Caenorhabditis elegans: one gene and its partner. The protein of the gene in region 1 interacts with the protein of each later gene in a pairwise test. Each region holds a gene or a part of one and is shown in the gene's direction. Other genes may lie near its edges.

Region 1 (9,811 bases):
CCAAAAAGATTTTCTGCACATTCCTGCTACCTACCTTCTCAACACATTGATAGCAGCAGTTCTGCATAGAGACACAACATCAGCTCCTGAGAATCCTTCAGTCCTTGCCGCCAAGTCATCATAGTTAATTTCATCGGATTTCGGAGTTCCTTCCATTGATTTTTCGATAAGCTTCTTTCTTGCATCTATATCTGGCAGTGGAATGAAGATTCGCTTTTCGAAACGTCTTCGGAGTGCCTCATCGAGCTCCCATGGAATATTTGTGGCGGCCAGCACGAATACACGTCGCGAATCGAATTTATTCTGTGACCCGTCCATTTGTACCAGAAACTCGGATTTAACACGCCGACTCGCTTCGTGTTCTCCAGAATTTCCACGTTGTCCACCAAGTGTGTCAATCTCATCGATGAAGATTATGGATGGAGCATAGAACCGTGCAAGTTCGAATAACAGACGAACAATCTTCTCGGAATCACCACGCCACTTGCTGGACAGATCAGTCGAGGAAACGGTAAAAAAAGTTGAACTAGACTCTGAAGCAATCGCACGTGCGATAAGAGTCTTTCCAGTTCCAGGTGGTCCAGCGAGAACCATTGCTTTCCATGGTGAACGGAGACCCTGGAAGAATTCTGGCACCAAGAGTGGAAGAGTGACGGCTTCGTGCAGAACTTGCTTCACGTCGTGCATTCCGATTATATCATCTAAAGACATTGTATTTTCCGTATTTGTAGCCATTGTACCACGCACCGCTTGAACAATGTACTGAAAAGATTTCTGATTTTTGTTTCTGGAAAACATAATAACTTACCGCATCATAAGCCGATGCATCGAATGAATCTCCAGCACTATTTTGAGGCAGTATTCCTTGTGTTGGATTCGCAGGCTTCACATCAGCCGGATTCGTGCTCATCGACGACGTTGACTTTGATATTTCTCTGGGACGTGGACCTGCTGCTCCAACTCCTTTCTTTGTTGCTCCAAATTTCGATGAGGATGGTAACGGTGGCGATGGTTTGGACCAAACATCTGGGTCTGCAGGTGGCTCTGGACTTCCACTTTGTCGCGTCATCGCCTCGTGTAGGTCATCTTCATCGCGCACATTTTGTTGGACAAGCTTCAAATTAGCCTCTAGGGCTCGTAGGAATGTCTGAAATTTCAAATAATTCAACAAGCTTTTAAAAGATTTATATTACGTACATTTCTTGCGTCATGCTCGTCTCTGTTGCTTGCCGAAATTTTACAGCTTTTGACATCTGTCATGAGCTGACGAAGAAGATCACCAGCCTCATTCCATCGTCCGGCATCGGACATTGTTTTCGCGACTTGGGCTCGCTCCAGATATCCGCGAATGACTGACTGCACATCCCCATTCATCCTGAAAATATACTTTAATTTTTCAATAATATACACTTCTACAGACGAGAGGATGAAATTTAGTATAAGACAATGGGATTTGGCGGAGAAGAAAATGGCAAGATGATGAATGATAACGAATAGGGAAACGACGGAACGGAGTGTGCGTGGACTTTATTAGATGGGAGAAGAAGATTGTACCGTGAAGATGAATTTAATATTATTTACAGAATAAAATGGTTGAATAGAAAACGATTTTTCTTTTTTTACTTGATATTGGCTCACTTGTTGGAAACATTGAAAGAGTTTAGCCGCAAAACAACAAGTATTTACAGCGGTAGATCACACAAAAAATGATAGGTCAAAAAAAGTTTTAGGAATTAAATCCTTAGCAAAAGGCTTGAAATCTGAGATCTTTCAGCGAGATATAAATGATTAGAACCTTCTAATTGCATATCACTTGAATAAAACCAAAATTAAGCGGCGAGTTATTGATTTTTCAGAAAACAGATTTCTGCTGGTCAAACCTCAGAATTAGCTCATCCGCGACAAACAATTAATTTACACAAAGCAAAAAAAAAAAAATTGATTAATAAAGAGAAGAAACAAGAGCAGTTTGAAAAGGAAATAATTGTTTCACTTGTTTAACAAAAAAAGATCATAAAGGTATAGACGAAATTTGTGTTGTCCGGAGCCAGTTTGATTTGCACAATTATAGTGTAACTTCTTAAAAGATATCTATAGAAAGCTTTTCATAAAAAGTAAAAAAATAATTGCTCAGGGCTCCGCGGAGCTGGAGCTCCGGAAGTATGGCGCAAAAGTACAAGTGTCGTCAGTTAAAATGTCGAGTACGCAATACACCCCAGACACTGTCACGTCTGAATGCACAATCGCTTGCAATTTGAACACTTTCAATTTTCGAATTTTAGCGGAATTCCGCGGAAAACTTTTACATTTTCTTAAATATTCTTCTCATTTTTTAGGATTATTATTATTAATTGGTTTTTTAAAACTGCCGTGTAGTCCATCATTGTACTGATTCGAGATTAAACGCGTTATTTTTGTTCAAATTCCGAGAAGAAACTCAAGAAACAAAAGGAAATTTTAAACCCTATGGAATTATCAAGTTAAAACCGTAAGAAGTTTTACAGAACTCCCGGAAAAATTTTATTTATCAGAAATCTCAATTTTATAAGTTAATGTTTCTACCGTGCTTACTATATTTTTAATACCACTTCACATGACATTAGTATCTCTTTCAGATGACGGATGTCGCTCGAGAATTCGGGATAGCTGTCAGCGACTCCTCCACGGTCTTCGCCTTCCTAACAGATAAAAAAGGATTTTCAAATAAAGGTAAAAATTGCATCTTCTTCAGTTTCCAACATAAGAGATTTTTCAGAAACAGTCTTGGTCGAGAAAGTTTCACAAAATCGACAAATTCTTGCGACACCAAATCTCAGACGACTTGTTATCGAAATGTATTCTGTATTTGATAAATGTCAAAAAGGCTCCTCACCTGATGCACCTCTAGACACGCCTACTTGCTGCACATTCTCTCGAGCTTATCGTTCAGTTCTCTACAATGCCGCCGTGTCTCACAGCAGTTCCGACTTCATGACAGACTTTGCTTTGTGGTCACTTTACGAGAAATTATGGTTTGGAAGAGGTGATAGCTCGATATGTGCGGATCTTATTTCATGGGCCAATCAGAGCTTCACGTTTTCTAGAGGAGCCATGGAATCAGCTGTGGAATATCTGCATCCGGGGAAGACGATTCCAGAAGAATATTGGAAGGGAGTAGCAGTCAGCTTGCTTAGTTGCAATTTCAGCGATTGTGTTGAACTGTTGGAGCTACATGGAGGCGGATCAGAATGTGATGCATTCATTGAGGCTCTCACATTCTTCAATCCCGAAAACTTAGTCGACGAAGCATTAGTAAGACCCATTTATATAATAATTCTTAAACTTCGTAATATTCTTATTTCAGGCTAACACAGTAAATGAATGGAAGGATATCATGCGTGAAAATTTGACAAGTGGGAAGTACGGGAGCAACGAAAATTTCAAATATCTTACGAAGCTCCTACTCGGTGAGGAACGATACCTCGTATCTATGGCTTCACGGATTTTCGACACGTGGTGGCATTTTCTGCCATTCTTTGTGCTTGTCAAGAATCCATTCGCCGGACATGTCGAGCTCATTGAGCTAGCTGATGAGTGTAGAACACTATTCGTTGGAGAAGAGGAAGAGGAGGGTGCAAAGGAAAATGATGTATTCTGGTGTCTTATTTCGAAGGATGATATTAACTTTCAACAGGTTCTTGTTTTTATTCAAGAAATTAAATTAAATATAAATATCTCTTGAAAATAGGCTCACTATTTCTTTCACGATTAATTAAACGGCGACAGAACATTTCATTCAATTTTATCCCAATAAAAAAAAATCAAAATAATGTTCAAGAATATTTAACAATTTTCTTCAAAATAAATTCTAGATTGTTTTAAATAAGAATTAATTAATTTTACTGAATAAAATTTCAGTTGATTGCCTCGAATCCCTGGCTCGCAGTTCACCTGGTTGATCTTATTCACAAATCCACATTGGATCCCGAGTTTGAAGTGATGAGGAAAATGCACATGTTGGACTACGCCAGTGTTCTTATCTCTCATTCTCCGTTAGTTTTTGAAATTTCTAATTACTGAAAAAACATTTTAAAATATAACTTCACAAATTTTTTATAGTCTGTGGGAAATCGGAGCCGGATATCTTATTGCGTGTGGTACCGAAGGACTTCTACGTCTCGAAACACACATCGAAGGGCTTCACATTGAGGATGATGAGATGGCTGAGCAGTTGCTGGAAATATGTGAAGAGCATCGACTGGAAGACGCGAAAAGTTGTGTGACAAATACAATGACTTTCCGGTATCTGAAGCAAGGACATTGGAGTTCAACACTCGCTTGGGCGTTGAAAACTGGATCCAAAAAGACAATTGACTGGACAGTATCTCGAATTGTTGGTTCAAGTTCGAAGGATGAATTGGCTGCATTAAGAGTTTTATCTTCAATAACCAATCATTCTGTACTCTCACTTCCATCTCTTACCTTCCTCTACTCTTATCAACGATTTGTGAAGATGATGCACTGTGGTGATGTACTGGACTGTGTTCAACATCTGATACCGCTTATTATGATGCCTGATGTTCCAACTCAGTATTACTATGATCTCTTCGATTATTTAATCACGATTATCAAAGAGGATGGGCGTGCTGGAATCCGATTTTCCAAGGAGATTCTCTATGAGCTCTCAACCTTTTTGTCAACGTTTACGCTTGATAAACATCGAGATTTGAATGATAATTATATGAAAAAGGTAAGTTTTATAGACATTTTTATGATCATATAATTATAAATTGTTACAGGTGAAAGTGCTCAAAAAGATGGTAATGCTCAAGTTGACAGACTCGATTGCGAAAGGAATTGCGTGCTCTTGAATAATTTATGAATTAATTTTATTTTATTTACATTTGCCGATGTTCTTTTTTGTTCTGGGATCTCAGAAAATTTAATTTTTTGTATGTGAATAAGGATCACATCTCTTAATTTTTTTACTATTACTTGGTTTTCCACACAAACTCGTTGAATTTCGAGGCCAACCTACCTTCTTTTCGAGTTTTCCCCAGAGATCGATAGTGACCTATGTGCTATGCAACCGTGCCCCATTGCACGTCCACAAGGCCTCGTCAGCTCCCTCGTCCTCTTTTTTCTGTTTCGACAGAAAACTGCTGGAGTTTATGAATTTATGTGGGCGCACATGACTGTGATCTATTGATTTTCTTCTGCTTTTTTCAATAATTCTGAACCATTTCACCCAACCTGTACCCATAATTTCAGGCAGTTGTGTGCTTTGCGCGCAACTCGGCCAGTCATCGACGTGAACGCCACGGCTTCTGCTCGCTGGCGCCAACTCGATTCCACTTCGGTGAGTTATCATTAAAATATTATCAAAAAAAAATTTCTTTTGATTACAGGCAGAGTCTGGTTCGCAGTCAGAACAAAGCGCTAGTTTGTCTGGATCAGAAGTCATGAGTAGTTCGGAGGAGGTTTGTATTATATTTCTATTTTCTGCGGAAAACAATCAGAAAAATCTAAATAGCCGTTTTTTTTAATGATTTATATTTTAAACTATGAATTTAATAACAAGTTTTATGGTCGATTGGTGAAATTTATTTTTAGTTTCGAATCTTTTTTTTTGTTCAGGTATCATGGATCACATGGTTCTGTGGCCTTCGTGGAAATGAGTTTTTCTGTGAAGTCGACGAGGAATATATTCAGGATCGGTTCAATTTGACAGGTCTCAATGAGCAAGTGCCCAAGTATCGACAGGCTCTTGACATGATTCTTGACTTAGAACCAGGTGATATTTTTGCTGACTTCATGTGCCCCCGCAATGTAACCTTTTTCTAGAAGATGACATAGAGGATAACGCAACGAACACTGATCTTGTTGAACAAGCCGCTGAAATGCTTTATGGACTCATTCACGCTAGATATATTCTTACGAATAGAGGAATCTCACAGATGGTCGAAAAGTGGCGTGATCATGACTTTGGAGTTTGCCCACGTGTCTACTGTGAAAATCAGCCAATGCTTCCAATTGGTGAGTTATAAAAAAATCGCTACTTCATTGGTTGCGGATAATTTTTTTTGAGAAAAGTGAAACTATAAAGTACTAAATTTTCCTAATTTAAAAGTGCATTTCCAATAAAATTTAAAACAAATATTTGTTTTTACACTAAAATTTCTGTAAAATTCCAATTTTTCCAGGATTGTCTGATGTTCCTGGCGAGGCTATGGTGAAATTGTACTGTCCACGTTGCAATGATGTTTTCGTTCCACGATCATCACGTCATCAACATACTGATGGAAGCTATTTTGGCACCGGATTCCCACATATGCTCTTCTTTGTTCATCCTGATCTGCGTCCACGCAGACCAGTCACTCAATTCGTTCCAAAGTATGTCAGAGGATATATATTAAGCTAAATATTTGAAAATCCGAAATTCTAATTTAAAAAATCTTTAAAATCTCGGCAATCGAGTAAATCTTTTCATTTCAGTATACCAATTAAACTTTTTGAATAAAAAATGAAGTAAAATATTTGCTTGATTCGAAAACACAACTTAATAATGTTGGAAAATTCAAAACGACTAGTGTCTGAAGGTTATTTTTTCGGCATTCGGCAACTTTCAGGCTCTATTTGAGATCTTTTTTCAAATATTTCAACAAGAATAAGTTGCAATTTCGAATCAATAAAATATTTTGACACATTTCTAAAATCATTTTTAATTCAAAAAGTTGACTTGGTAGACTGAAATTAGAAGATTTACTCTATTGCCGAAATAAGTTGGCTGTACTAAATTAGATTCGAAATAATTTTAGAAATTAGAAGATCAAACAATAATATTTTATCCACTTTAAAAATTTAGCAGAACTTAGTACAATAATAATTATGTTATGTGTAAATTTTTAAATATCAAAATTTTCAGACTCTACGGTTTCAAAATTCATCCTGTTGCTTATGGAGGACAGGAGGGAAACAGCGGCGGAAATACGGCGAATAACGTTGCCGCAGCACAAAACAACACGACTCCAGCCGGGCAACAATCTGGAGGACAATTCAATAATTATGGTCTCTGAGCCACTTTCTTCCTTATTTTTGTTTTGATTTCTTCTTTCCAGTTTCCATTCAGAATGTCCCCCCTCTCAACACAACATCCTTATTTTCTTCATTGTTTCGTTTTTTCTTCTCCCCAAAATTTTCTTTTCCGACAAAACTCAAGAATCCGGCGGTTCTTCCATGCGTGTTTCTCTTCTTTTCTAAATCTGTTCTATTCCAACATTATGCGAATTTAAGAAATGAATGAAACGGTAGATCCCATACATCTCAAAAAGAGTGTTCCTAATTTTCTGTGTAAAAAGTGCAACGTTATTTATTTGTGCCTGTCTTCGTCACGCGGAAACAGCTGGGCGGGAAAGTGCGCTCTACTGCAGTCTCTCAGTCACAGCCTTCGATTCTGCCATCGACGTCATGTGTTTCTTTTCTTTTTTATTTACTATTTGAACGGTTTTAATATCTCCAGTTGATTTGGTTAACGATTAGCACATTGATTTCTGCTTATTTTGAAATATTTCAAAATTACAATTTTTGAAAACGCTCCATATTTTACCTGAAGAAAAAACTTTTGAACAGCTTTTCACATTAATTCCAATATATTTTTAAATTATATTGCATAAACGTGAAATTTTGCGAGGAAAAGGCGATACCCCGGTCTCGATACGCCTTTTTTGTAAAATAAAAACGGACGTGTACCTTTATAGAGTACTGTAATATCAAACTATCGTTGCTGCAAAATTTTTATCGATTTTCAGTGTTTTTCGGTAAAAATGTATTTGTTAAAAAAAATAATAAAAGAAAACGACACAAAATTTTTACAAATCGTGGGAAAAAGTATGAAAAGTCGATAAAAATTCAGTAGCAATGAACGTTTAAAATAACAGTACTTCTTAAAGGCGCAGACCCATTTGTTTTCAGAAAACAATCGTCGCGCCCAGACCGGGTACCGTACTATTGGCGGAAAAAAAATTTAGAAAAGAATATACCAAGTAAATATCAGTTCTCAATTTTAATATATATTTTTCTTGTGAATCATAGTTTAAAAATTCTTCTTTGTTTTTTCTCCAACTCTTCAAAAATTAAATAAAAGCTTTTACAGCTTTGAATCATCGAAAATGAATGGAAAACAGCAAGTCACAAAGAAACCATCAACTGAAGAAGATCTGAGCTTCACGGTTTGTTTTAAAGTCAAAAAATCAATAATAAATATTTTCCAAAGAAATTCAAGGTTGTACCAGATGTTGGTCTAAAAAGTTCACAATTCGAATTTGTGCTTGGTATGCCAATCAATCAATGTATTGCAATGATTCAGCAACATCCAAGAATGCTTACAAAAGTCGAATTGAAGTACAGTAAAAAGGTATAGAAATTAACTAATTATACTTTTAAATAAAGTTAAATTAAATTCAGGATCCATTCTACCAGGATATCATCATCTATATCGGTTCTACAGGAATTCGTCTCTATTTTGATGGCCTTTCACAGCTTATCAAGCTAATTGAAGTGGATAATCTTTCAATGATTACACTTACTTATAAGTATGATACCATCAAAAAAAAAAAACTACAGAAGCTCGTTTAAAACTATTGAATTTAAAACAAATTATGGCGTTTTGAAAATTCGAAAAATTTCAGCCTTGCATAAAATCTGAAAATTGAAAATTCTCTCTGTTGAATTCGGTCGTTTCGGGTCATTGTGAAACTATCAAAGAAAAAAAATCAATTTCAATTGCCAAGATAGTCATACAATTTCTTCATAAAAATTTTCAGCGATACAATCTTCTCTGATCCAAATAACATGGCGACGTTGGATCGGGTCAACGAATTTTTTGGATCGACACATCCAGGATCATATGATGATAAGCACAATATCTATGTGCAAAGTTGGCCGGGATTATCTTTCTGTTTCCCATATGGAGGAGAAAATTCGAATTTGGAAGTCAGGGTACTGTAGTTTGATCTTTTTGGGTATTAAAGTTGGAGTACCGTCTGTGGGTTTTTTCGAATCAAAAATACGATACCGAATATAGTAAAAAATTAAAAGAGTTTTTTCTAACCTACAGCCGCTACTTCACCTTTAATTTCCAAAAAGTTTTTTATATCTCCCAAAAACCGAAATTTCAAACATTCTTCAATTTCAGCCTGGATTTGGTGGAAATCTTCGTTCGCTGAAATATGATGCCAACTCTCAACCAAAACTTACCAAGATGTCCATTTATCGTGGACCAAATCCATCTGAGCCAGAGTGAGAATTTATTATTTATTTCTATTTATTTCTCAAAATTTGAAGATCCGTGGATACTCCATTCTCGTGTTATTGTGGTCAAAATCGGACGAGAAAAGTCGAAGCAATTTGGGAAAATGGGAATATTGTTGGAATTGATATTCAATTTGATACTCAAAGTACTGGAATTTTTTGAAATTATTAAAAAAAGTGAATATTTGCAGACGGAAGAATTGTCGATGGAGAGTATGATGTATCCACGTACACACGACAAATCTATTTTGGAGACTCTGTTTCGGTTGGTTTTCTCAATCAAAAAAATTTGTTCTAAAAATTTAAATTTTAGGATGTGCAATCGATTCTTGGAGCCCCGACAAAGGTCTTCTACAAGTCCGATGACAAGATGAAGTACGTTCTCGTTCTCTTGAAAATTCAAATTCTTTTCTCACAAATTTAGATTTATTTTCAATAGATGTTGAATTTTCCACTGAAAATTTAAACAATTTTTGAAGAAAAATTTTCTTAAAAAAAGTTGAAGGGTTTCAATGTAAGCGTT
Region 2 (11,215 bases), on another chromosome or scaffold:
GGAGGGGCGGAGTTTCATGCGGGGACACCTCTATTTGAACATTCCGCACTCTCTGGTAGGACACATTTCTCTCACTTCTCTTTGTCCCCCTATTAACCTCGGTACATTCGGAATTTTGTGTGCACTCAGTAATGTGTCCCCGCGGGAAGCTCCGCCCCTCCACCGCAGTTTTTACATAAATAGGTGTCTCTCCAACCATTTCCTCATACTTGATTCAAGTTCATTCTCATCATGCCACCAAAGCCATCTGCCAAGGGAGCCAAGAAGGCCGCCAAGACCGTCGTTGCCAAGCCAAAGGACGGAAAGAAGAGACGTCATGCCCGCAAGGAATCGTACTCCGTCTACATCTACCGTGTTCTCAAGCAAGTTCACCCAGACACCGGAGTCTCCTCCAAGGCCATGTCTATCATGAACTCCTTCGTCAACGATGTATTCGAACGCATCGCTTCGGAAGCTTCCCGTCTTGCTCATTACAACAAACGCTCAACGATCTCATCCCGCGAAATTCAAACCGCTGTCCGTTTGATTCTCCCAGGAGAACTTGCCAAGCACGCCGTGTCTGAGGGAACCAAGGCCGTCACCAAGTACACTTCCAGCAAGTAAGCCATTAGGCTGAAAACTACCCCACCGAACCCAACGGCCCTCTTTAGGGCCACAAATCTTATAATCCTATGTTATTAACCAAGTGAATGAATAATTTTCAATTATACTCTTTCATAATTTTCAGGTTTTGCATTTTCCAAGTTCAGTTAATTTGAGATTAACCCAGTATTCATTTTCTAAAAGTCATTCTTTCAGAGAGAGAAATTCAAAGCATCTTCGGAATTCTATCTTTCAAATTGTAGATGGGATTCTTCGAATATTTCCAAAAACTTGTATTTCCGTAGTTTATGAAGTTGCACAGAGAAAGGGAAGCTAATGGCCGAGGCTTATAAAAACTTTCGGTTTTCAATCTTGTTGGAAAAATCTCGGGTCATCTCACAAAATTGGTTGAAAAATGTTATGAAAAACTATTACTACATCAAATTACAAGAAGTTTGAAAAAACGCTATGAAATAATTACTTGATTTCCGATATCAGGCGAGATATATGATTCAGGCACTGGTTTTCAGGCTTCAAGCTTTCTTCCGCTTCATGTTCTTGGATATCTAAATCATTTCGATCACCAACTTGAATTATAAAGTGAATTCATATGGTTCGGGAAACAAAACTGTGCAGACTTTCATATACCCTTTTGTAAATAAAATTGAGAACGAACGAAGAAAATCGAATACCGAATGTCTACTTGCATGCAATTCTAATTTTAAATTTAAAAAAAGTATGTAGTTGTGCAAAGCAATAAAGAAAATATCATGTCAACTTGTATTTGAAAATGCTAAAATAGAAAAATCAAAATTATTTAAGATTTATTTAACGAGATCAATTAGGATTTTGGATATTTGTGGCCCTAAAGAGGGCCGTTGGGTTCGGTATTTGGTTTGTATGAAAACAGAAAAGATAATAATTATCCTCCGAATCCGTACAGAGTTCTTCCTTGGCGCTTCAGAGCGTAGACGACGTCCATGGCGGTGACGGTCTTTCTCTTGGCGTGCTCGCAGTAGGTGACAGCATCACGGATGACGTTCTCAAGGAACACCTTCAAGACTCCACGGGTTTCCTCGTAGATCAATCCGGAGATTCTCTTGACTCCTCCTCTTCTGGCGAGACGGCGAATGGCTGGCTTGGTGATACCTTGGATGTTATCACGGAGAACTTTGCGATGGCGCTTGGCACCACCTTTTCCAAGGCCTTTTCCTCCCTTTCCACGTCCGGACATTGTTGAATTCGTTGAAGACTCACAAGTGAGATGAAGAAATGACATCACAGTATTCCTTTTGTACACAGCTGTGGTGGCTAGGCGGAGTCACATTGCACCACTCTGCGAGGACACCTTTCCTTTGTCTGTAACACACCGAATGTTCTAATTGCCACAAGGACAGAAGTGCGCCCGCCCGCCCTCCCACCGCAGCTGCGTACAAAGTCAGTCGTTGGTTTCTCTTTTTTACAGTCCCCACGGATTATCAACCTAAACGCAATGGCTCGTACCAAGCAAACCGCCCGTAAATCGACCGGAGGAAAGGCTCCAAGAAAGCAATTGGCCACCAAAGCTGCCCGCAAATCGGCTCCAGCTTCCGGAGGAGTCAAGAAACCACATCGTTATCGCCCAGGAACCGTCGCTCTTCGTGAGATCAGACGTTACCAGAAATCAACCGAACTTCTAATCCGCAGAGCACCATTCCAGCGCCTTGTTCGTGAGATTGCTCAGGATTTCAAGACCGATCTTCGATTCCAATCTTCCGCTGTCATGGCTCTTCAGGAGGCTGCCGAGGCTTACCTTGTCGGACTCTTCGAGGACACCAACTTGTGTGCCATCCACGCTAAGCGAGTCACCATCATGCCAAAGGATATCCAATTGGCCAGACGCATCCGAGGAGAGCGCGCTTAAATACCTTTTTTGGTAGTTGAGCAAGCTTAATCTCAAAACTTAACCGAACCCAACGGCCCTCTTTAGGGCCACAAATGCATAAATCCAGTCCTTGTGTAAAATAAAATTGTTTTCTTTATTTGTTTTTTGTATCATTTTGAAGGCCCGGAGAACCGAACTACAAATTCGTCAGAAGTTCGCAGATTTATAAAAAAGGTTTCGGCCCAATACTTATTTGTTTTAATGCGCCTCTATACATTAGTATTATGAAATTAGTATTACATTAGTATTATGAATTTATTATTGAAATAGTATTATGAAATTTATGAAAGGCACATTCAGGATCCATAAACTGAGGTGTCGCTGCTTGAAAATCGTATCTGATGTACTGAAAGTTGCAGGATTCAGATACGAAACCTGTTCAATCACAATTTGGGAAATAACTCGAGCCCAAAGTATGAATTAAAATTGATGATCTGATAAAAACTTCCGTATTATTTTCATTCAGCGTAAAATTGCGATTTAATATTAATTATTTATTTATTTAATTTAAATTAAAAATAAAATGTTCCAGTGAAAAACATGTAGGAACATTATGCTATTGGAGTCGGAGGTCTCGCAACGATTACAGTACCACGTTTGTTATTCACGGCGCGCGCGCGCGAAAAAATTATTTGTCTCTCTCTCGTGCTCTTGCTTGAAACGCTCTTGTATTTTTCTATTTTCAAACAAATTCTTGATCAAAATTAGTTCAAACATGGTAAATTTGAATGTTTATTTTAATTATTAACGCATCTGCGATACCGTTTTCTGTTTTGAAACAAATATCTTCATTTTATGTGGCAGAAAATGTTAGTTTTCCTCGGCCATTTGTGTTCCAATTTCACCGCCATTTTCAAACGTTGAGTTCTGAGTACATATTCTTTTCAAAGTTGGACTAAATTCGTGACCGTTTGTTTCTTTACTAGATATATATTGTAAAAGTAATTTTAATTCTGATTTCTTTCAGGATGAGTTCGCCACGTCGAACAAGAATAATGTTTGATACATCTTCAGACGATTCTCAATCAGATGAGAAAGTGGGTTTTTATTTTTAAAACGTTAACTGAGGACTAATTTCAGATCGATGACTTCATCTGCCGATCCAGTCCTCAACGCCAGTCAAAAGAAAGTGACGACCAGGAAGATTCAGTTGTCGATGAGTCGATGAAATCTGTAAATTCGCCTATTGTCAATACACCATCTTCAACAGCATCGCATTGCACAAATAGCTTCGCCACTTCGACGCCAAAATCCAAATCGAATGCTTCAACGAGACTCGGTTCTTCATATGGAAGTTCCAGAAGCTCCTCGCAAAACCACGAGAGCCATGATCGCAGTCGGAGTTTTGTACAATATGACGAGAACAAGCCACTGACTCCAATCAGCAAAAAACTGGCGGAATCCACTGATCTGCGATCAAAAGCTCAGCTTCGTGAACGTCTCCTCCGCAAATCATTGAAGCAAAATGCCGAGGATAGTTCGCCAACGAGAGCTGCATCTGGAGGTGGATGGGGATCGTCTGCTGACGTCAAGAAATCACCAGAAGTTTCCACTGGACTTTTTGAAACAGCTCTTTCTCCTATTGCTAAAAGTGATCGCCGTTCATCAGAATATAACTCGAGCACATTTTTGGTAGTGTTTGAATTCAATTTCATATTGGCGATTAATATAATAAATTTCAGAATGTCCAGAAAGTAGCTACTTCCACGGCAATAAACGATATTGGCGGAAGAGAAGAAATAGTTGATGAATCATTTCCTGCACCTCGAACAACGGCTAAACAAGATGATAGTGACATTATCGAAGTGACTCCAGAGAAAGTTGTTTCGAATGAAAAACGGAAATCAGGGATTGCCATTAACTTGGATGATAGCGACATTATTGATGTAACACCAGTAAAAACAACTTCATCGAGACCACCAGAGCCACAACGTCCACGACTGCCAACTTCGCCAATTAACTCGGAGTACGCGAAGCTTTCCTACAAAGAGCTTTTGGCGAAAAAGAATAAAGTTATGGGATTAATTTCGTTATCATTAGATCTACCTGATGGTGGCAGACGGGTAATTAAACAATTTCAAGAGCTTGATGATGAAGTGGAGAGAAGAAAAGAAATGGGACTTGCTGAAGAGATCGTCGACGATGATGAGGATGATGAAATCTTCGTGATTGAAGATGATGAACCGAGTCATCGACAGGTGGCTCCAAAGTTCCCTTCCGGATCTGTCATGACTCAAAATGGTTTGTTGCCAAAAAGACATATCGTGGATCCTCTCAAAGCTCCTCAGCCAGACTTCAATGCCATGTTGGAGAAGGACAACAAGAAAATGATGTCTGGAAAGATGACCGATGAAAAATACAAACGCATACAACTCGTTTCTGATCGAGTAGTTCGACAACTTGCTGAGTAAGTCTTGTTTAACTTTTTCTCGAAGCTGTGTGAAAATGTGTATCCTCTTTCAGGGCCACTCACACAATCCCCGATGAAACTGAGCTCACGGACACTCCGAAAGGATTCAAACTTGAACTGATGCCACATCAAAAGGCAGGCCTAACCTGGATGCGTTGGAGAGAAACTCAACCACAGCCTGGTGGAATTCTTGCGGATGATATGGGTTTAGGAAAGACGCTTTCGATGATTTCTCTCATCGCCCATCAAAAAGCTGCTCGTAGAGCTCGCAGAGAAGATGGAAATGACGATAAAGACAAAGAAAAACGTAAAGTGGTAAAAGAGCAAGGACTAATTCCGTCGAATGGAACATTGATTGTTGCTCCTGCAAGTTTGATTCATCAATGGGATGCTGAAATCGATAGAAGACTAGATGACAGCGTTCTATCGACATACATGTTTCATGGCACAAAAAAGCAGAGGGACATCGATGCAAGACGTCTTGCTCGATACGATGTCGTCATCACCACGTTCAATCTTATCGCAAATGAATTAATCGAAAAAATAAGGACTAAATCAAAAGCAGATGATTCATCTGACGGTGAATCGGATTCAAATCATACTGGAATTCGTAGAGCAGTTGGAAAAGACGACTCCGTTCTTGCTCAGATCTGTTGGTCTCGAGTCATTCTTGACGAGGCGCATACCATCAAAAATCGGCAGTCTCTTGCTTCGAAAGCTGTCTGTCGTTTATCAGCATTCTCTCGATGGTGCCTTTCTGGAACTCCGATCCATAACAATCTCTGGGATCTTTACAGTCTCGTTCGATTCTTGCGTATTCGTCCATTCAGTGACGATAAATATTGGAAAGAATCGATCATGCCAATGAAACCAATAATGGCTGATCGCGTAAATTTGCTCACAAAGAACCTGCTTCTTCGTCGTACAAAGGATCAAACATGTGCTGTGACAAACCAGAAACTAGTTCAGTTACCACCGAAAAATGTAGAAGTCCACGAATTGGAGTTGGACGGAGATGAAGCACAGGCTTATGAGATTATGATGGAGGCTGCCAAGTGAGTGACTCACTTGTAACATTGGCGAAAATCATAAAACAAATTTTCAGAAAATTCGTCAAAAAACTTCTGCAAGATTCCAATGATATGAAAAATCATGGATTTATTCCTCGTCGCAATAGAAGAGCAGGAAAGGAAGGAGAAGTTCAGAATCCTTTCAATTGTAAGAATCTGTGATGTTTAAAAAATTAATATTGAATATTTTCAGTTGGTCCACGTGATTTGGCAGCCGGCTCGAACTTCGAAAAGATGTCATGTGTTTTGATGCTTCTTCTTCGTCTTCGACAAGCTTGTGTTCATTTCAATATCACAAAAACAGGAGTCGACATGGACGCTTTCAGCTTAATCGGTGGAGACAATGCGGAGGAAGCGAATGTGGACGATTTGAATGAGTTACTGGAGAAAACTATGAACATGACGTTGGGAAATGGTGACAATGAAGAAAGAGACAAACCGAGGGCTACAACACGAATTTTCGATCCGGACTACCTGAGCTGTAAAATTAAAAATACACTTGAAATTGTTGAGAACATTATGGAGAAGAAAGAGAAAGTGTATGTTTTCACCAAGTTGAAAATAAATTCAAATTTATGTTTTTCAGTGTCATTGTTTCTCAATGGACATCGGTTCTCAATTTGATCGAAATTCACATAAAATCAAGTGGTTTCAAATATACATCAATTACCGGACAAGTTCTGGTCAAGGATCGTCAAGAGAGAGTGGACAGCTTTAATCGGGAGAAAGGTGGTGCTCGAGTTATGCTTCTCTCTCTGGCCGCGGGAGGTGTTGGGCTCAATCTGACAGGTGGAAATCATTTAGTGATGGTGGATTTGCATTGGAATCCGGCTCTCGAACAGCAAGCTTTCGATAGAATTTATCGAATGGGGCAGAAGAAGGATGTTTTCATTCATAGGTTCGTTGATTGCGGCAAGAAAATTAAATTCATAATATGTGTGTTAATCTTGCAGATTGGTTACGAAAGGAACGATCGAACAACGAGTTGTAATGCTGCAAAAGGACAAAGTCGCGCTAGCTTCGTCTGTTCTCGACGGAAATGCTACTCGCAAGATGAACAAATTGACGACGGCAGATATCAAGATGCTGTTCGGATTGAATGAAAAATAATCTTCAAAACTATTATTCCAGCCTTTATGTACAATATTATCATTCCTCACCCGCACACATTTCATTTCTGTTGTAAATATTCATTCAGCTTATGGATTGCAAAATTTTATTTATTGCATAAGTATTACCCGTGATTATTTCTATAAAGCTTGCATGGATTTGAATTTTTTGTTGTTTTTTTATCAGTTTGATTCTGGCTAACTATATTTTAATACGGAGAGAAAATATTTTTTCTTCTAAAAAATCCGTTTCTTTCGCGCTCTATCGCACTTTTGCATTCGAAACGTTATTTCCGTGCTTTTTCTGCACTGTTTCTCTCTTATTTTAATATTTATTGTTTTTGTATCAGTTTCCATCAAAATTCTGCAAGATGTCCGATGTGGATATGGAATCCGGCTCGGATGATTCCGGAATGGAGGATCTGGATGAAGAAATTCAAAAAATCAAGCAAAAGGTATGAACTAATTATCGAATATACTTCATATACACAAAATACAATTTCAGATGATCGACGATAGTCAAAGTGTCGTTCTTGCAAACCAATTATTGATTTTATTGCGAAAAAATGGTGACTTCGACGAGCTTGATATCAAAAGGAGGCAATTTGTCGAATGGGCCCCACTTAATCCATTAAATTGGAAAAACTGGATTGAGTAAGTTAAAAAAAATAGGTTAATTATAATTTTTTAAAAACTGATTTCAGAGATTTTCAAAACAGAAAACCGGAGCCAAGTGTCGCAGAAGTCGAGGAAATGTTTGAAAAAGCTCTGTTTGATGAGAACGATGTCACTATTTGGGTCGAAAGAGCAATGTACGCATATAAGGTTGCGAACGACAAAAACAAAAAAGAGGATTTCAAGTTTTGCCGAGATGTAAGTTTTGATTGAAAAATGTAATTATTATAATTTTACAGGTTTGTAGCAAAGCTCTTGAAAACCTTGGAACTCGGTACGATTCTGGAGGGCACATTTGGCTGATTTTTCTGGAATATGAAATGAGCTACCTGAAAAGTGAGCTTACTACTGTACTTTCATCAACAATTTATAATTTTCAGATTCTATGAATGCTCCTGACTATCAACGACTCGCTGATCAAGTTTTCGCTCTGTTCGAGAGAGCCCTTCATTGCCCAACAGATCAGCTCGAAGATGTTTATGTTTTAGCTGAACAATTCTGCACAGAATTCAAACAACATCATAAACTCGAAGAACTGAAAAAGACATATAATTCAACAATGCGACAGAAGGAACAATTGTCAAAGTTCGAGGAGCTCATTCAACAGGAAGAAACCAAAAAGCAAGGTCTGAAACAGTTTTTTGATCACGAGAAGAAGAGTGGAATTCCTAGTAGAATAAAAATGGCTCACGAGAGGCTTGTTTCTGAGTTGGACGATGACGAGGAAGCTTGGATTGCATATGGAGCATGGGCAGATATTGAACTTAAATTGCCACAGGTAAGGAAATACTTTTTATTATAGAATTATCGGAAATATCCAGAGGTCTGTCTAGAGATTATAATTATCTTTAAGATTCGAAAAAAATATTGTTGAATATTATTATTTTACTAAAGCTTCCATTGGATTATTGAATTATTTTGTTCAGGTTGCTGTAAAAGTGTACTCTCGAGCTCTGCGTCATTGTCCATACAGTTTTGTTCTCCATCAACAAGCTCTTCTCGCCTTCGAACGAGATCGTCGGCCAAATGAGGAAATTGATGCATTATGGGAACGAGCAAGAAGCAATGTTATCAAGTTAGTTTCTTTTTTGAATACATACAGTAGTCTTATATATTTATTCGGTGTAATTTCAGTTCTGCCGAAGAAGGACGGAGTCTTTACCGTACCTATGCTTTTTTGCTTCGCCGTCGAATTCATCTCACTGGTTCTTCGGATTACTCTCCAATGGCTGAAGTGTTTGATGAAGGTGCAGCGCTACTCAGAGAATGGTTTTCAATGGCTTGGGATACTACAGCAGATTATCGACAAATGCAAGCATATTTCTATGCTTCATTAATGAAGAACATGGACAAATGTCGAAATATCTGGAATGATATTCTTGCATCAGGATTCGGAAGATTTGCCGGAAAATGGATTGAAGCTGTTCGTCTTGAGCGACAATTCGGTGATAAAGAAAATGCTCGAAAATATCTAAACAAAGCTCTCAATTCTGTATCGGATAACATCAACGAAATCTATATGTACTATGTTCAATTTGAAAGAGAAGAAGGAACATTGGCTGAGTTGGATTTGGTTCTTGAGAAAGTGAATTCACAGGTTGCTCATCGAGCCATTCGACCACAAAAGAAAGTTTCTGAGAAACCAGCTCCAGCTCCTAAATCAAAGCAAGATCATATTCAGAAGAGAACGTCGGGAGGTGAACCAATTGTAAAAAAAGTGAAAGGAGACGACGGAGGTAAATAATTTTTAAAAGTAAAGAAGTTAATTTGAATTAAATTTTAGGATTCAAAGCTCCACTTCCACCATCCAATGCGAAAAGTTCATCAGCTGTATCCTCTTCAAATGCTTCGTCGACACCAGCTCCAGGTTCCTTTGCAGTTCAGAAAGCAGCTCCAGGAACGGAAGATGCTCGCACAATTTTTGTTTCTAATCTCGATTTCACTACGACGGAAGACGAAATTCGACAAGCCATTGAAGGTGTTGCTTCAATTCGATTCGCAAGAAAAGCGAATTCGGATCTTGTGCACAGAGGGTTCGCCTATGTTGTAATGGAGAATGATCAGAAGGCACAGCAAGCTCTCTTGAAAGATCGAGTTCCTGTGAAGGGAAGGCCAATGTTTGTAAGTTTTAATTTTACTTTATAAATATTTGTGAAATTTTAATTTCTGAAAATTCAGATCTCCGCCAACGATCCAGAAAAACGGGTTGGATTCAAATTCTCAACCACTCTTGAAAAATCGAAAGTCTTCGTTCGCAATGTCCACTTCCAGGCAACCGACGATGAGTTAAAGGTAATATATACTTATCTATCATTTTATATTCTAAATCGATACATTTCAGGCATTATTCTCGAAATTCGGTACAGTAACCAGTGTTCGACGCGTGACTCATAAAGATGGAAAACCAAAAGGAATCGCATTCGTAGATTTTGACACAGAAGCAAGTGCTCAAAAATGTGTTGCTTCTGGTGATAAATTGATGCTTCGAGAAAGAGAACTAGAGGTAGCGTTATCCAATCCACCAGTAAAAAAGGATAAATCGCATGGAAAACCAGCAGCAATTGGAGCAAGTTTGGAAGAAGATGGACCTAGAAAAGGACATGCTGCAAAACTGCAATTGGTTCCCAGAGCTATTAGTAAGTATATCATCTTTAGTTCCCAGCTTAGCATAAAAAAATCCATTTTCAGCAAACAAAACTCCTCAAATCACTGCTCGGCTGGACGCAATGGATGTTTCCGAAGGCACTTCAACGTCTCAGCCACTTTCAAATGATCAATTCCGTAAAATGTTTATGAAAAATTAGGGCCGTTTTTCACCAGAAACTTTCATTGTTCATATCAAGATTCATTTAGTTATTTAATTTCTATTACGTTCCCCAGTGTCTCCTTTCCAATTAAAATTCCGGTAGATGCTATTTTTGATGTTCTCGCTATAATTATATTTGTTCTTCACTACGAATTGCAAGATTTAGTTTCATAACTGTTCATAATCCTTGTTTTCTTTTTGTTTGCTAATAATTTGTAATAGAGATCCCCCAATATTCATTTTCAACTTATTGCCTATGGATAAGAAAATCTGAATTTTCAACAACTACTTTTATTATTCAATTTTTATCGGTATATTCGACCCCAAATTATTACTTTGTTTTGCTACTTTCGCTATTCAAAGAACTTAGGTATGCAATATTTTCAATTCAGATGTCATCTTCTGAGGGTAATTCTGACGCTTCTGCACCAGGAACACCAGTTAAATCGTAAGTAAATGGTAATTGTGTTTCTAAAATAATATAATTCAATTCAGATCAACTCCATCTTCTCGTGGATCGTCGCCAGATTCACCAAAAAAACAAGAACCGTCTAAGAAAAGAGCGATATTAAATGAGTCCGACGATGATGATGATTCTCGTCCTGCTCCTCGACAATTGTCCGATTCTTCTGACGATAA

Evidence for each region.
Region 2: the proteins of npp-2 (region 1) and F54E12.2 interact in a two-hybrid assay, tested with the Caenorhabditis elegans proteins (2 studies listed by BioGRID).

The regions. Positions count from the first base shown.
Region 1 is NC_003279.8:8,286,445-8,296,255, reverse strand, and holds npp-2 (Nuclear pore complex protein Nup85), read left to right. Parts: upstream 1-2,615; coding exon 2,616-2,709; intron 2,710-2,755; coding exon 2,756-3,291; intron 3,292-3,343; coding exon 3,344-3,673; intron 3,674-3,897; coding exon 3,898-4,031; intron 4,032-4,098; coding exon 4,099-4,729; intron 4,730-4,778; coding exon 4,779-4,850; 3' UTR 4,851-4,957; downstream 4,958-9,811. Other genes in the region: Meiotic spindle formation protein mei-1, read right to left, coding at 35-762, 809-1,147, 1,198-1,374; kin-10 (Casein kinase II subunit beta), read left to right, coding at 5,442-5,459, 5,617-5,773, 5,824-6,015, 6,183-6,372, 6,905-7,055; phaf-1 (PHAF1 protein T01G9.2), read left to right, coding at 8,148-8,207, 8,252-8,392, 8,443-8,570, 8,802-8,976, 9,173-9,276, 9,322-9,434, 9,480-9,553, 9,602-9,663.
Region 2 is NC_003282.8:11,329,123-11,340,337, reverse strand, and holds F54E12.2 (Transcription termination factor 2), read left to right. Parts: upstream 1-3,473; 5' UTR 3,474-3,474; coding exon 3,475-3,543; intron 3,544-3,586; coding exon 3,587-4,138; intron 4,139-4,188; coding exon 4,189-4,913; intron 4,914-4,969; coding exon 4,970-5,971; intron 5,972-6,021; coding exon 6,022-6,134; intron 6,135-6,179; coding exon 6,180-6,525; intron 6,526-6,572; coding exon 6,573-6,884; intron 6,885-6,939; coding exon 6,940-7,096; 3' UTR 7,097-7,258; downstream 7,259-11,215. Other genes in the region: his-58 (putative histone H2B 4), read left to right, coding at 232-603; his-56 (Histone H4), read right to left, coding at 1,505-1,816; his-55 (Histone H3), read left to right, coding at 2,075-2,485; sart-3 (Spliceosome associated factor 3, U4/U6 recycling protein), read left to right, coding at 7,467-7,550, 7,601-7,749, 7,800-7,968, 8,010-8,106, 8,151-8,548, 8,697-8,845, 8,905-9,506, 9,554-9,891 and 3 more; leo-1 (RNA polymerase-associated protein LEO1), read left to right, coding at 10,969-11,024, 11,072-11,215.